Rattus norvegicus: one gene and its partner. The protein of the gene in region 1 interacts with the protein of each later gene in a pairwise test. Links are inferred from orthologs where the notes say so. Each region holds a gene or a part of one and is shown on either strand. Other genes may lie near its edges.

Region 1 (5,799 bases):
GTCAATGGTTTTAAACCTCTGTATGACCAACCTGTATGTTCAGGAGCCTTTGGTTAGAGCTGAGAAAAAAAAACATTTCCTTGACTGTTTGGTTAAGCAAACTTTATTTAGACTGGCCAGCCAAGCAGCCCCTCACTGGTGTTGGAGGTCCCTTTTATGGGAAAACATTAGGGTTGATAGAAAACAGCTGTTGGGATAATTGGCTGTTAGCACCTGAACAGAAGAGTGGGGGACTCAAGACTGCCTGTGGGGTAGAAGCATGTGATAGGAAACAGCTGTCAGGATAATTAGCTGTTAGAAAGGCGGCCATAAAAAGAAGTGCAAGCTTGTGCCATGTGGAAGGTTTCTGGGGAGACACAGTTTTGTATAGCAAGAGGCAGTCATGTATCACAGGTTCAGGAGTTTAGCAAATACATCACGGGGTTACAAATTCAGCATAAGTTAAAAAACATTTGTAGGATACATTACACTTAGGGGACAGAAACATGTAAGGGATGTCTACTTAACAATATAACTGTGGCTCCTGTTTCTGTTTCCAGAGCAAAGGGAGGACATAGTTATCCTTTGCATGGAGAGACTAGGAAACTTCTGTTTGTGTGCACATGTACTCATGACTTCTTTGTCGATAGAAACATCTCATTATGTAGGCCTTGTGCGTTATTTATTTAGTTGCTTTAGTCTCAGTAAATAATAATGAAAGGTCCTCTGAGGAAGGAAGATGAATCATGGAGTTAGGGAGAGAGGGACTTGGGAATTAGGTTTGAATTAATAAATAGCAATCAATAACCATGTAATCAAGGATGACCTTGAACCATGGTGCCCGAGTGCTAGGATTGTGTGTACTGGAGTACTTGGCTTGCAAATAATTACTGAGCAGTAAGGGGCGGGCACTGTGCCAATTGAGTGGTATTTGTATGAGTCACTTAAAAAGACGTGGAAACTCAAAAGATTGCAGGCTGGAGTTGGGAAGAGGGCCTCTCAGCACTTCCAAAACAGCATCCTTTATGGTGAGTTGTCCTTGACCAGTACTTGGGGCTTCCAACCACTTAAGCAGCTGCTCACTCACCAGGATGACTTCTTGGTAAGGCTATACCAGGAAGTTAAGACTTGGGAGTTAATCAGAACTACTCTAGGGCTTGAGATCCAACTGAATAAAACACAATATTAAGGGAACTGACCCTATACAAACCAGCAGTGATGGGCATATTTTAGAGTAGGTTAGATCTAAGGTTAGGTATATTTTCCCAGTACAGGATTCAGAGGAAAGATGCAGGGCTGGAGGAACCGGAGTATCTCCCAATAAGGCCCCAACATGAACGCCCTGTCTCAAAGTGCGGTCCCTGGACTGACAGGATTGGACCAGGTAACTCCAGAGGACCTTTCTATATGCCTAAAGCTCTGCCCATTTGGTTCTGAGAACAACAAATACAGGGAAAGAGGGCTTTCAGCCCAAGTGTCACTCCTGGAAAGCTGTTTGCTCCGTGCTGGACCAAAGCTGCCCGGGAGCGATGCCGGAGAGAGCAACTACATTGGGGTGACCTCTGATGAGTCGGTAGCTGTAAGAGTCTGGTACCCGGAACCTCTGGTGGCTCTTCCCGATATTAGTGCTCCTAGGGCGCCCAGGTTCAGAGCCAATAGAAACTTAAGGTTTAGATGACTCGTCACGCCTGGGCCAATCAGCTCGACGCGCGCTCCTACGGCGTCTCGCGTGATAACCAGGCAGCTTTGGCTTTGACCGTCATAGCTTTGGTTAGGTGTCTCTCCACGCCCTGTAAGACACCGGAAGTTCCGTAACGAGCGATCCCTCCGCACTCCGGAACGTGACTTCAGTTGGTCGCAAACCTATAAAGTAGTGCACTTTTCTTCCTTCATGGGGCCTTCAGGATACTCTGTAACGCCCCAGTTACTCCCCGAGCACAGCGGAGAAGGGTTTGGACGGGCCAGAGCGTCAATGGGATAGGGTTAGGTGGAGCGGCGGCGGGATCACGTGACCACGGTGGGAGGATACGGGGTGTACTGCGTCCCTCACCGATTCTATAAAAGGCGGGTTTAGGGCGTGTCGCCGCCATTTCTGCTTGCTCTGTGGTAGATGTCTCTCTGTACGCTGTTCCTTTCCTCTTCCCCTCCCGCAGGGCTTGCGGCCACCATGGCGTATTAGAGGCAGCAGAGCCTGCGGCAGCGTTGGCCTTTGCAGCGGCGGCAGCAGCACCAGGCTCTGCAGCGGCAACCCCCACCGGCTTAAGCCATGGCGTGAGTATTGGGCCGACTGCGCGGGCGTGTGCTTTGCTGTGTTTGGGTGCGGCCTGGGCGCGTTGACCAGCATACGCGGCTTTACAAGCGGCCAGACGCGTCGGCCTTGTTTGGGTGGCCCCGCAACGCCGGCGCACACGGGGAGGGTTGGGCAGGCGGCGTGGAGGGAGTAGTGCCTAAAACCCTGCTACTTCCTCTTCGTCCTCTCTTAACTTAGTCGTCTCGCGCCCCCCCGGGTTCCCGGTGTCATTCTGCGAACGTGGCGAGGCCAAGATGGCGGTGGGGCGGGGGGGGGGTGTGAGTCACGGGGGCGGGGCGCGACGGCCTTGGCCGTATTAGGACTTGAGGACAAGCTGCTTCCTCCGGGTGGCCGGTGAAGCAAAGCTAAGCCTCCATCTTGTGCAACCCGAGCTGGCGGCTGGGGAAGCTTACACAATGGCCTTGAGCCCACGTGCTCTCCATTTAGAAGCTTTTGGGATTTTGTCATCCAGCATCCTAGATAGAAAGATGATTGAACTTGCTTTTGGATCCTTATGCAGGCTCTTCACGAAACCCAGCAGCAGCGTTGCTGTAACGGACAAAGATACCTTCGAGTTAAGCACATTCCTCGATACCAGCAAATCCCTACAACATGACCGAGATGAGCTTCCTGAACAGCGAAGTGTTGGCGGGGGACTTAATGTCCCCCTTCGACCAGTCGGGTTTGGGGGCTGAAGAAAGCCTAGGTCTCTTAGATGACTATCTGGAGGTGGCCAAGCACTTCAAACCTCATGGGTTCTCCAGCGACAAGGCGGGCTCCTCAGAATGGCTGGCTATGGATGGGTTGGTCAGTGCCTCAGACACCGGCAAGGGTGAGTAGGGAGGACACCTGCACCAGTGTGCTCTTTTCATGTGGGTTTGGTGTTCTAAAGGTTTTCTGCCTCTAGTATGAACCGTTCTCTCCTGAAATTTTTTTCCCCAGAGGATGCCTTTTCCGGGACAGATTGGATGTTGGAGAAAATGGACCTGAAAGAGTTTGACTTCGATGCTCTGTTTCGAATGGATGACCTGGAAACCATGCCAGATGAGCTTTTGGCCACGTTGGATGACACATGTGATCTTTTTGCCCCTCTAGTCCAAGAGACTAATAAGGAGCCCCCTCAGACAGTGAACCCAATTGGCCATCTCCCAGAAAGTGTAATAAAAGTCGACCAGGCTGCCCCCTTTACATTCTTGCAGCCTCTTCCCTGTTCCCCAGGGTTTCTGTCTTCCACTCCAGATCATTCCTTTAGTTTAGAGCTGGGAAGTGAGGTTGATATCTCTGAAGGAGATAGGAAGCCTGACTCTGCTGCTTATATTACTCTAACCCCTCAGTGTGTAAAGGAGGAAGACACTCCCTCTGATAGTGACAGTGGCATCTGTATGAGCCCTGAGTCCTACCTGGGCTCTCCCCAACACAGCCCTTCCACCTCCAGGGCCCCACCAGACAGTCTGCCTTCTCCAGGTGTTCCTCGTGGTTCTCGACCCAAACCTTATGACCCACCTGGAGTTAGTGTGACAGCTAAAGTGAAGACTGAAAAGTTGGATAAGAAGCTGAAAAAGATGGAGCAAAACAAGACAGCAGCTACTAGGTACCGCCAGAAGAAGAGGGCTGAGCAGGAAGCCCTCACTGGCGAGTGTAAAGAGCTAGAAAAGAAGAACGAGGCTCTGAAAGAGAAGGCAGATTCTCTCGCCAAAGAGATTCAGTATCTAAAAGACCTGATAGAAGAGGTCCGTAAGGCAAGGGGGAAGAAGAGAGTTCCTTAATAGGGTAGTCAGGTGCTTTGTGCTTGTACATAGTCTTGTGATGCTGTGTTTGCTGTAATAAATTATTTTGTAGTGAAAGTAGCCATGGAAGTTTTCTGTGTCATTCTTTCTAATAGACTGCACAAGGTCTGGGTTGAATACGATAGCTACCTGGATGAGTTGAGCTGTTCAGGTAGTGAGACAGGTAAAGACTAGCTGGAGGGAGGGGGCTCTGGGTTAGTGAGGGCCAGCCCAGAATTGCACCTGTTCATACTGGCCTTGTGCCAGATACCTGCTGTGTAAGTACCTAGATAAGGTACAGTCCTTGAACACAAAGAGGATTAGGTTTCTCTTAGGCTTAAGGGATACAGCTACTATTTCCTGTGACAGGTGGCAAGCCCCACTCCAACCCTTCAGTTTGTTACTACAGATCCTCCCAAGGCGAGGTAAAAAGCCTACCATCACCCTCAACATTATTCCATTTGGCCCAGGGGCAGCTTAATCCAGCACAAGGATATGGTGGGGGGAGGAAGGGCCTGAGTGACAGCGGGGCAGAAACTGGTGGAGGCCCTTGGAGACAATGACTAACCTTCACTTGGCAGATGTTCTTTGTGCGTGAGAACTACAGCTGTTCCACTTCTATGTAATGTCACATGTCCACCCTGGCAATGCTCTAAACAGGGTTTCCCATAGCCCAGGTTGACCTTGAACTTGATATGTGGCCAGGGATGACCTTGAACCTTCCAAGTGCTGGGGTTATAGACCGTGTGTCACCACACCTGATCTGTTAGGTGCACCCTGAGGTAAAAGACCCAAAGAGTCAGCTAAGATCTAGCCACCCTCACCATGGTGACTTACAGCCCTTGCCAGGTATTGACAAAAGACTGGAAGTACTGTTTAGCCAGCTCAGACTGGAGCTGTTCTGGGTGCCCATTAGTTGGCAGAGAATGGCCTTCAGTTTTCCTATCACTGGTGATTGCTCAGCATGCACTACAAACTATCAGGGATGCCAACTGAACACAAGATGAACAGCTCAGCTTTTGTGAAACTTGCCTTCTAAGACAGAGGTCCAACGAAGGGCTGGCAGGCTGGGTGGAGGACCTGATCTAGGAGGAGTGTGCTGGGGGCAGGGAACAAGGTGGGGCCCGGGTGTGGGTAGGATGATACAGCAGCAGCCCCACTTCTGCGGCAGGCTTTTGGCTCACCCTTGTTGGCGAGCAGAAGCTAGGCTGTGTTGGCCAGTGAGGTGGATGTAGAAGACCCAAGTAAGGAGTCTTCTACTGCAGCGAGACCCATGCTGAGCACCTACTCAGGCAGTCGACAGGATGGACTGGGGATCTTTGCCATGGTGGACGGCAGGTAAATGCTAAAACCAGCATAGAAATAGACCAGCTCAGGTTGGGGGAATTGCAGACTGCTGGCCTTTAAGAAGGGGATTGTGTATAGAGGGTGAATACCAGCTCATCTATTTAGAACCTGACCAGCTTCAGTTCACCTTGACCTAAGCTCTCCCTACCCCACAAGCAAGACCACTCTAGGCAAGTCTGGTGTCCTGGTGGCTGGCCCTGAGTCCCCAAGACCACCAGTGGCAGTCCTGCTCCACTCTATACAGCTCTCTTGACTCACAGAGGACAGGCAGTTGTGGATGATCCAGTCTATAGCAGAAGCCACAGGAAGCATGGGGGTGGGGCAGCAGCTCTCCAAGTCCAGATCATCAAATTTTTTAACTGGCCTAAATGTTTGATCTTTGCATCTATTTGGGACCTTAGTTGGGGTAGGCTTTCC
Region 2 (5,916 bases), about 49 Mb from region 1:
GCCATAGGGGCCAGGGGCAGCCCTGGGGATTCCGTTCCCAGAAGGCACCGCGCAGACTGCTACCGCCGCCGCCGTCGCTGCCGCCGCCACCGCCGCAGCCGCCGCCGCCGCCGCCGCTGCCCGGACGGGAGAGGGGCGGGGCCGGGCCCCCGCCCAGCGGACAGCAGCGAGCCAACAGGAGGGGACGCAGTGCGCATGCGGGAGCGCGCCTACCCCTCCCCCACAACCCCCCATTAATCCCCAAGAGAACAAACACCCCACGCGGCCCCCCCCCGTCCTCCGCGGAAGGATCTGGGCCTCTTCCCAGGCCACTGGTGGCCAATCCCAATCCTCCCTCGGGAGGGGCCCCTTCCGAAGCCACAATCTGTTGGGGGAGTCAGGAATGTCAGGTCCGGGAGGGGCCAGCCCTAAAAGATGAAAGTCGCGACTTGCCCTGCCCCGCCCCAAAGGCTTCCCGGGTAGTGTGCAGAGACTTGACCCGCCTCTCCAGGTCAACATGTCACAACACGACCTCAGCCTGTCAAGTCACATGACCTCTGCCTGTCACTGACAACCTGGTCTGTCTTTAGGCCAGGAGAGACCATCTGGTTCAGCCCACCCCCAACCTCTACTAACAGAAGGGGAAATGAAGGTCTGGAGCGAAGGAGCAGTCTGGCCAAGGACCTGTCACTGTCGCACCATCCAATAGCAACCGGTCTTGGTTCAGTTTCTACTTAGACAAACTCTGGCTTGCCCCTCCCGAGTGTACGACAGACTATGTAATAGGCCACCACATGGCCTCTGTTTTCATGGCACAAAAAATAGGTTTTGCAAGATGTTTTTACTTTTACTCAAGTTTTCTTCACAGTGCTGTTTTTACCTTTACCTATCATTCTTTAATTTACAACTGAGTACGGTAGATTCCTTGGGCAAATTAAACTAGAATGACCCAGTCCAGGCAATCATGCGCTCAAGTGCATGCACGTCCCAGTCTCTAGGTCGTGAACCCAGACACCTAGAGGCATGAGGCCAGCTAATCAGCAGGGAGTCACAGGACTTGCTATCTTGGAGAAGGAAAAGGGTGGGTATTGGGCTTAGTGAAGGGCATAAGAGCATCACACAAAGCAGGGGTAGGATAAGTAGGCAGGAGGCTACACTCTACAAAGAACTTGAATTCTGGCACGCAGTGGACGATTCTGAAACAAACGTTAAAGCTGCCCTTCTGAGAGAAGCGGATGGACTACCAAGGAAATGCCAGTACCTCAGTCTTTGGGAAGCGTTAGAAGGCTAAAAGAGGAGGAGGTCTCTTAAAAGACTCCAGAAGATGTCAATCCAGGTGAACAAATTGGAAACTTTAAAGAGGTTCAAGAGCCTCGGTGCCCATTAGTTGGGAGGGGCCAGGGAAAATGAGTCTTTTATGGAGGAGTAAGTTAAAGGTGATGGGAGGTGGGCAGACAAGTTCAGGAAGGACAGCCGTTGGGGCCGTTGGACACTGTGAGCTGGCGCTCCGCCTTCTTTCCTCTCTCCCCCATCCCCCCCTCCCGCCCGCTCCCCAGCACCTCCCACCACCATCGACGTCTCCTGCGCGTGCGCGCGCGGACACCGGTTGCCAAACATTGCATCATCCCCGCTCCCCCTCCGCCCCCCCCACGTCATCCCCTCCCTCGCCGCACTCTCCTCCGCGCGCGCGCATGACTCACTCACCTCCTCTGCGAAGCCTCGTGACCCAAAGCCACTTCCGGGTCCGAGATAACGTAGACTCTCGAGCCAGAGGGCGCGATGGAGGCGGGGCCACGGGACTCCTGAGTGGCGGACGTGAGGGGTGAGGCGGAGCCTGTGCCAGCGTGCCGCTTTCTGATTGGTAGGCTCCTGGACACTACCCCCCCCCAGGAGGGACCGAATAGCATAAAAGATACTCGCTCTCCGCTCCAGAGGTCAGTATCTTGAGTCTAATACGTCGATCATACCATGTTGAAGATGAGCGGGTGGCAGCGACAGAGCCAAAATAACAGCCGGAACCTGAGGAGAGAGGCGAGTACTGACTCCGTCTACCCCTTACTTTCCCATCCTCGCCAACATAGCTATTCCACAAAGTTAGAGGCAACTGTCCTTGAGGGTGTAGCCCCACCCCTTCCACTGTGAGTTTGTAGACTGAGGGGCGAGTGAAGGCGGGTAATTCCTGATTCGGGAATGGTGCTTACAGGCCACCTCTTTGGGCGATTGCATTCCCGTTCCCTTGTCTCAGGTTGGTCCCTGCTCTGCAAAGGGACTCCGGTTGCCTTCGGAAATTTGTCTCAGTACTGACCATTTGCGGGCCATCTTAGGCCTAGGCGGTTCGCAGGAAAGGTGGGGCAACAGGACACACCCCCCAATGTTGGGGACTCCGGCTGTTAGCACCTCTTCTCCACCAGCCTCATTCCCCCCAACTCTTTCAAGCTGAAGCGCCTCAGGGACCACCAACATGGCCACTTTAGTAGCTGTCTCTAACGTTCAAGACAACTCAAAGACTGACAGATCTTTGCGAGTGGGGGTGCCGGTGGGAGGAGCATAGATGGGTTTTTCCCTTTTCCCCAGAGGTTTCTGGGTTTCCGTACAAGAGAGCAGCCTGGGTCTCTTTAACTATGGGAAATTACTTGGGATCTCTCCAGGGTCTTCTGCTTCTCTTAGGACTGATCTCTGCTTCTTTCCTCAGTCCTGTCTCCCAACTAATCTCTGTAACCGTTGCATCAGGCCAGCCCACTGTTTGTCTCTGCACCCTCAGGCCTGGGGCTCCTCTGCTGATGAAAGCCAGGTCCCACACACTGGAAGACCAAGGAGTTTTCCCTAGAGGACAACCCTGCAGAGAAACACTCAGGGCAATATTGCGTCTGCAGTCCCCAGAGACAGGCAGCTCAGCTCTGCCTTTGGGCTCAGTGGGCTTAGTTGTTCTCTATTCGTTCCTAACAAATGCCTAATAAGCACCCACTATGTGCCAAGCATTTGGGGATCCAGGGTATATTAGAAGCAAAAGACGAAACTGTTCTCAATAAAACTTACATTTCAATGTAAAGCAAAAGGGGGGAAAAACAGAAGCAGGGAAAAAATAGTTCAGGATGGTGGCTAGAGGTTTTATCATTCAGGAATTGCCTCAGTGGGTGGGTGAGATGGAAAGAAGGCAAGCCTGTGAGCCAAGCAGGTAATGTGGAAGAGGTTTATAGAAGGGAGAGAAGGAGCAGAAGGGTTGAGATGAGTGTGCCAGTATCCTTAGGAGCAGGGCAGTGAGCTGGACTAGAGTAAGCAGGAGAGGGTGGTGAATGGAAACTCAAGTAGCAGGTCCTGTAGAGCCTTGCAAGCATTCTCAGGATGCTAGTCTTTCAACAGTCCTGAAACAGGAATCCATTGGGGGATCTGAGCAGAGGAATGTCCTAAATTAAAAGGGTTGGGGAAAGACCCCATGCATTTAATTCCAACACTCAAAGAGGTAGGAGCAGGCAGAGCTCTGAGCTCCAGGCCAGCATAGTCAGATCCTAACTCAAAATAAATACAAAAACAAAGGGTTGAGTGTGTAGCTCAATAGTAGACTGCTTGCCTAGTATGTAGAGGGCCCTAGGTCAACCCGCAGCCATGAAAATAAAAAAGACAAGAATAGAAACAGGAGATCTTAGCTGGAAATAATGGCAAATGCCTTTAACCCCAGCACTTGAAAGGTAGGTAGATCAGAGTTCAAAGCCAGCTAGTCTACAAAGTAAGTTCCAGGACAGCAAAAGCTACACAGCAAGACCCTGTCTAAAAAAAAAAAAAAAAAAAAAAAAAAAAAGATTTCAAGGCTTCCAAAAATAATCTAGGGAATGAAATGCATAATGCATGGTAAGTTTACATCTGGAAATAATGAGAAAAAGTGAGAAATATTTAGGTTTTGGGTACTTCTAAAGAATATTGAAGTTGCCAGTGCTTTAGACTGAGCTGTGGTATCTGAGAAGGGAGGAATTAAGGATACCAAATGTTTGGCTTTAGGCACCTATAGTTGCCATTTAGTAAGAACTGTACCCCCTTGGTAGGAAAGGCCTTTTGTGTAAGCTGAATGCCTGCTCAACAACCAAAAGAGATGGAGATCCCAGGGCAGGTCTGGAGGCTAGGATGGGAATGGAGTTTAAGCAAATACTGCTGAAATCTCTCTTCCCTGTATTTTAGTTCTCACTTTGGCAGATCTGAGGTCTATCTGGATTTAGAGAAAACTTAGTTGGCCAGGACTTTGCTATTATGTAATCAGGACTACAAATGTCAGCAACTAAAAATAAAGTTAAGCATGCCTGTCCTTGGCTTCAGGGACACACACACACACACACACACACACACACACACACACACACACACACACGAGCCTCTCTGTGGCCTGGTCTACAGAGTTGAGTTCCAGAATTCCAGGATGCCCCGGGCTTCACAGAGAAACTGTCTCAAAATCCAATGACAGAAATTAAGAAACCAGCTAGAGAAAGACCAGTAAGAGGCTAGAGGTAAAGGACCTGTTTCTTCCCCTTTCTCCACAGTGTTCCAGAAGGAAGTGCATCTTCATACACCACCACACCTGAAAGCAGGTAATCTTAGCCACCCTCCCAGTCAGCTCCTAATGCTGCTCAACTTGCTTTGCTGGGATGAGAGTTAGACCAGGCCTTGACCAGAACCAGCTTTTGCTGTCAGACCATGTCTTTCTCTGATCCCATAATGTTGTTTTAGAGCTGGCTTGTCTCAAAGTCAGCCTCAAAAATGGCAACTGGTTTGTTTTCCCAATTCTCAGTCCACACCAAGATTAACCCCAAAGGACCTTTAGTTCAAGCTTCCCACACAAGAAAAAAGGAGTACAAATAGCTTGGTAATTGCCCCTAGAAATTACCAGTAGTGTTCCCAAGTGAGTTGAATACTTTTACTGTAATCCTGTAATATGTATGCATAGCCAGGCACAGTGGCTCATTCCTGTATCTCAGAACTTGAGAGGATCCTGAAGTTATCTGTAGTAAATCCCTCTGAATAAAGGGTAGGTTCTGTCAGGTATAGTGATGCACACCTTTAGTCCCAGCACTTGGGAGTTGATCTCTTTGAGTTTGAGGCCAGCATGAGTTCTAGGACAGGCAGGGCTACACAGAGAGACCCTGTCTCAAACAACAAAAGAAGACTGGCAATAGAGTCTGGAGAGAAAGCTTATCAGTTATGCATGCTTGCTGCTTCCTGCTGTACCTAAATCAGGCTTCCTGCAGCCACATCAGGTGGTTCACATAGCCTGGAACTCCAGTTCCAGGAGAGCCAAAGCCTCTGGCCCCAAACACTGATCATGTATACACATGCAAATTAAAAGCTTGAAACAAAATAGTAGAGATAACTAAATAATATTGACATTTACTGATTTAGTTCTTAAATTACATTTATTTGTTTGGGGTTTGTCTGCTGGCCATGGTGTGTATGTGATCATCTGGACATTGAGAGTTGAATCTGGCAGTATTAAACCCAGACTGCTGGGCTTTGGTGGTAGCCATCTCCCCATCCCAACACTCATTTAGTTTGTGTGCAGTGGTGTGCAGGTCAGAGAACAACTTGTGGGAGTTGATTCTCCACCCCCACCCTATTCCAATGTGGCTTTCAAGGAGTGACAACCTATGTATGCCCTTACCTGTTGTGTAAGACCAGTGCACTTTAAATTCTATATGTTAAAACAGGCATGAGATCAGTTCACCAACTGTGGTGAATGGAATGTATGTCCTTTTTCAGAAACCGGTCCAATTACAGTCATGGCAGCTGAGTCTCTGCCTTTCGCCTTTGAGACAGTGTCCAGCTGGGAGCTGGAAGCCTGGTATGAGGATCTGCAGGAGGTCCTGTCCTCAGATGAAATTGGGGGCACCTATATCTCATCCCCAGGAAACGAAGAGGTGAGTGCTGTCTTCGGATGGGCAAGCAGGATGATGGCAT

What was found. The genes of interacting proteins can lie anywhere in the genome.
Region 2: the proteins of Atf4 (region 1) and Ddit3 interact in binary tests that used the Homo sapiens proteins (3 or more experiments, as listed by UniProt). The link is inferred for Rattus norvegicus from reciprocal best matches to the Homo sapiens genes ATF4 and DDIT3.

What each region holds. Positions count from the first base shown.
Region 1 is NC_086025.1:113,682,615-113,688,413, forward strand, and holds Atf4 (cyclic AMP-dependent transcription factor ATF-4), read left to right. Parts: upstream 1-2,066; 5' UTR 2,067-2,250; intron 2,251-2,789; 5' UTR 2,790-2,881; coding exon 2,882-3,101; intron 3,102-3,176; coding exon of another isoform or gene 3,177-3,211; coding exon 3,212-4,035; 3' UTR 4,036-4,125; downstream 4,126-5,799. UniProt on the Homo sapiens protein: Transcription factor that binds the cAMP response element (CRE) (consensus: 5'-GTGACGT[AC][AG]-3') and displays two biological functions, as regulator of metabolic and redox processes under normal cellular conditions, and as master transcription factor during integrated stress response (ISR).
Region 2 is NC_086025.1:64,999,783-65,005,698, forward strand, and holds the start of Ddit3 (DNA damage-inducible transcript 3 protein), read left to right. Parts: upstream 1-1,912; 5' UTR 1,913-1,947; coding exon of another isoform or gene 1,948-2,010; intron 2,011-4,505; coding exon of another isoform or gene 4,506-4,547; 5' UTR 4,548-4,553; intron 4,554-5,718; 5' UTR 5,719-5,738; coding exon 5,739-5,876; exon of another isoform or gene 5,877-5,877; intron 5,878-5,916. Other genes in the region: uncharacterized LOC128125814 homolog, read left to right, coding at 1,948-2,010, 4,506-4,547. UniProt on the Homo sapiens protein: Multifunctional transcription factor in endoplasmic reticulum (ER) stress response. Plays an essential role in the response to a wide variety of cell stresses and induces cell cycle arrest and apoptosis in response to ER stress.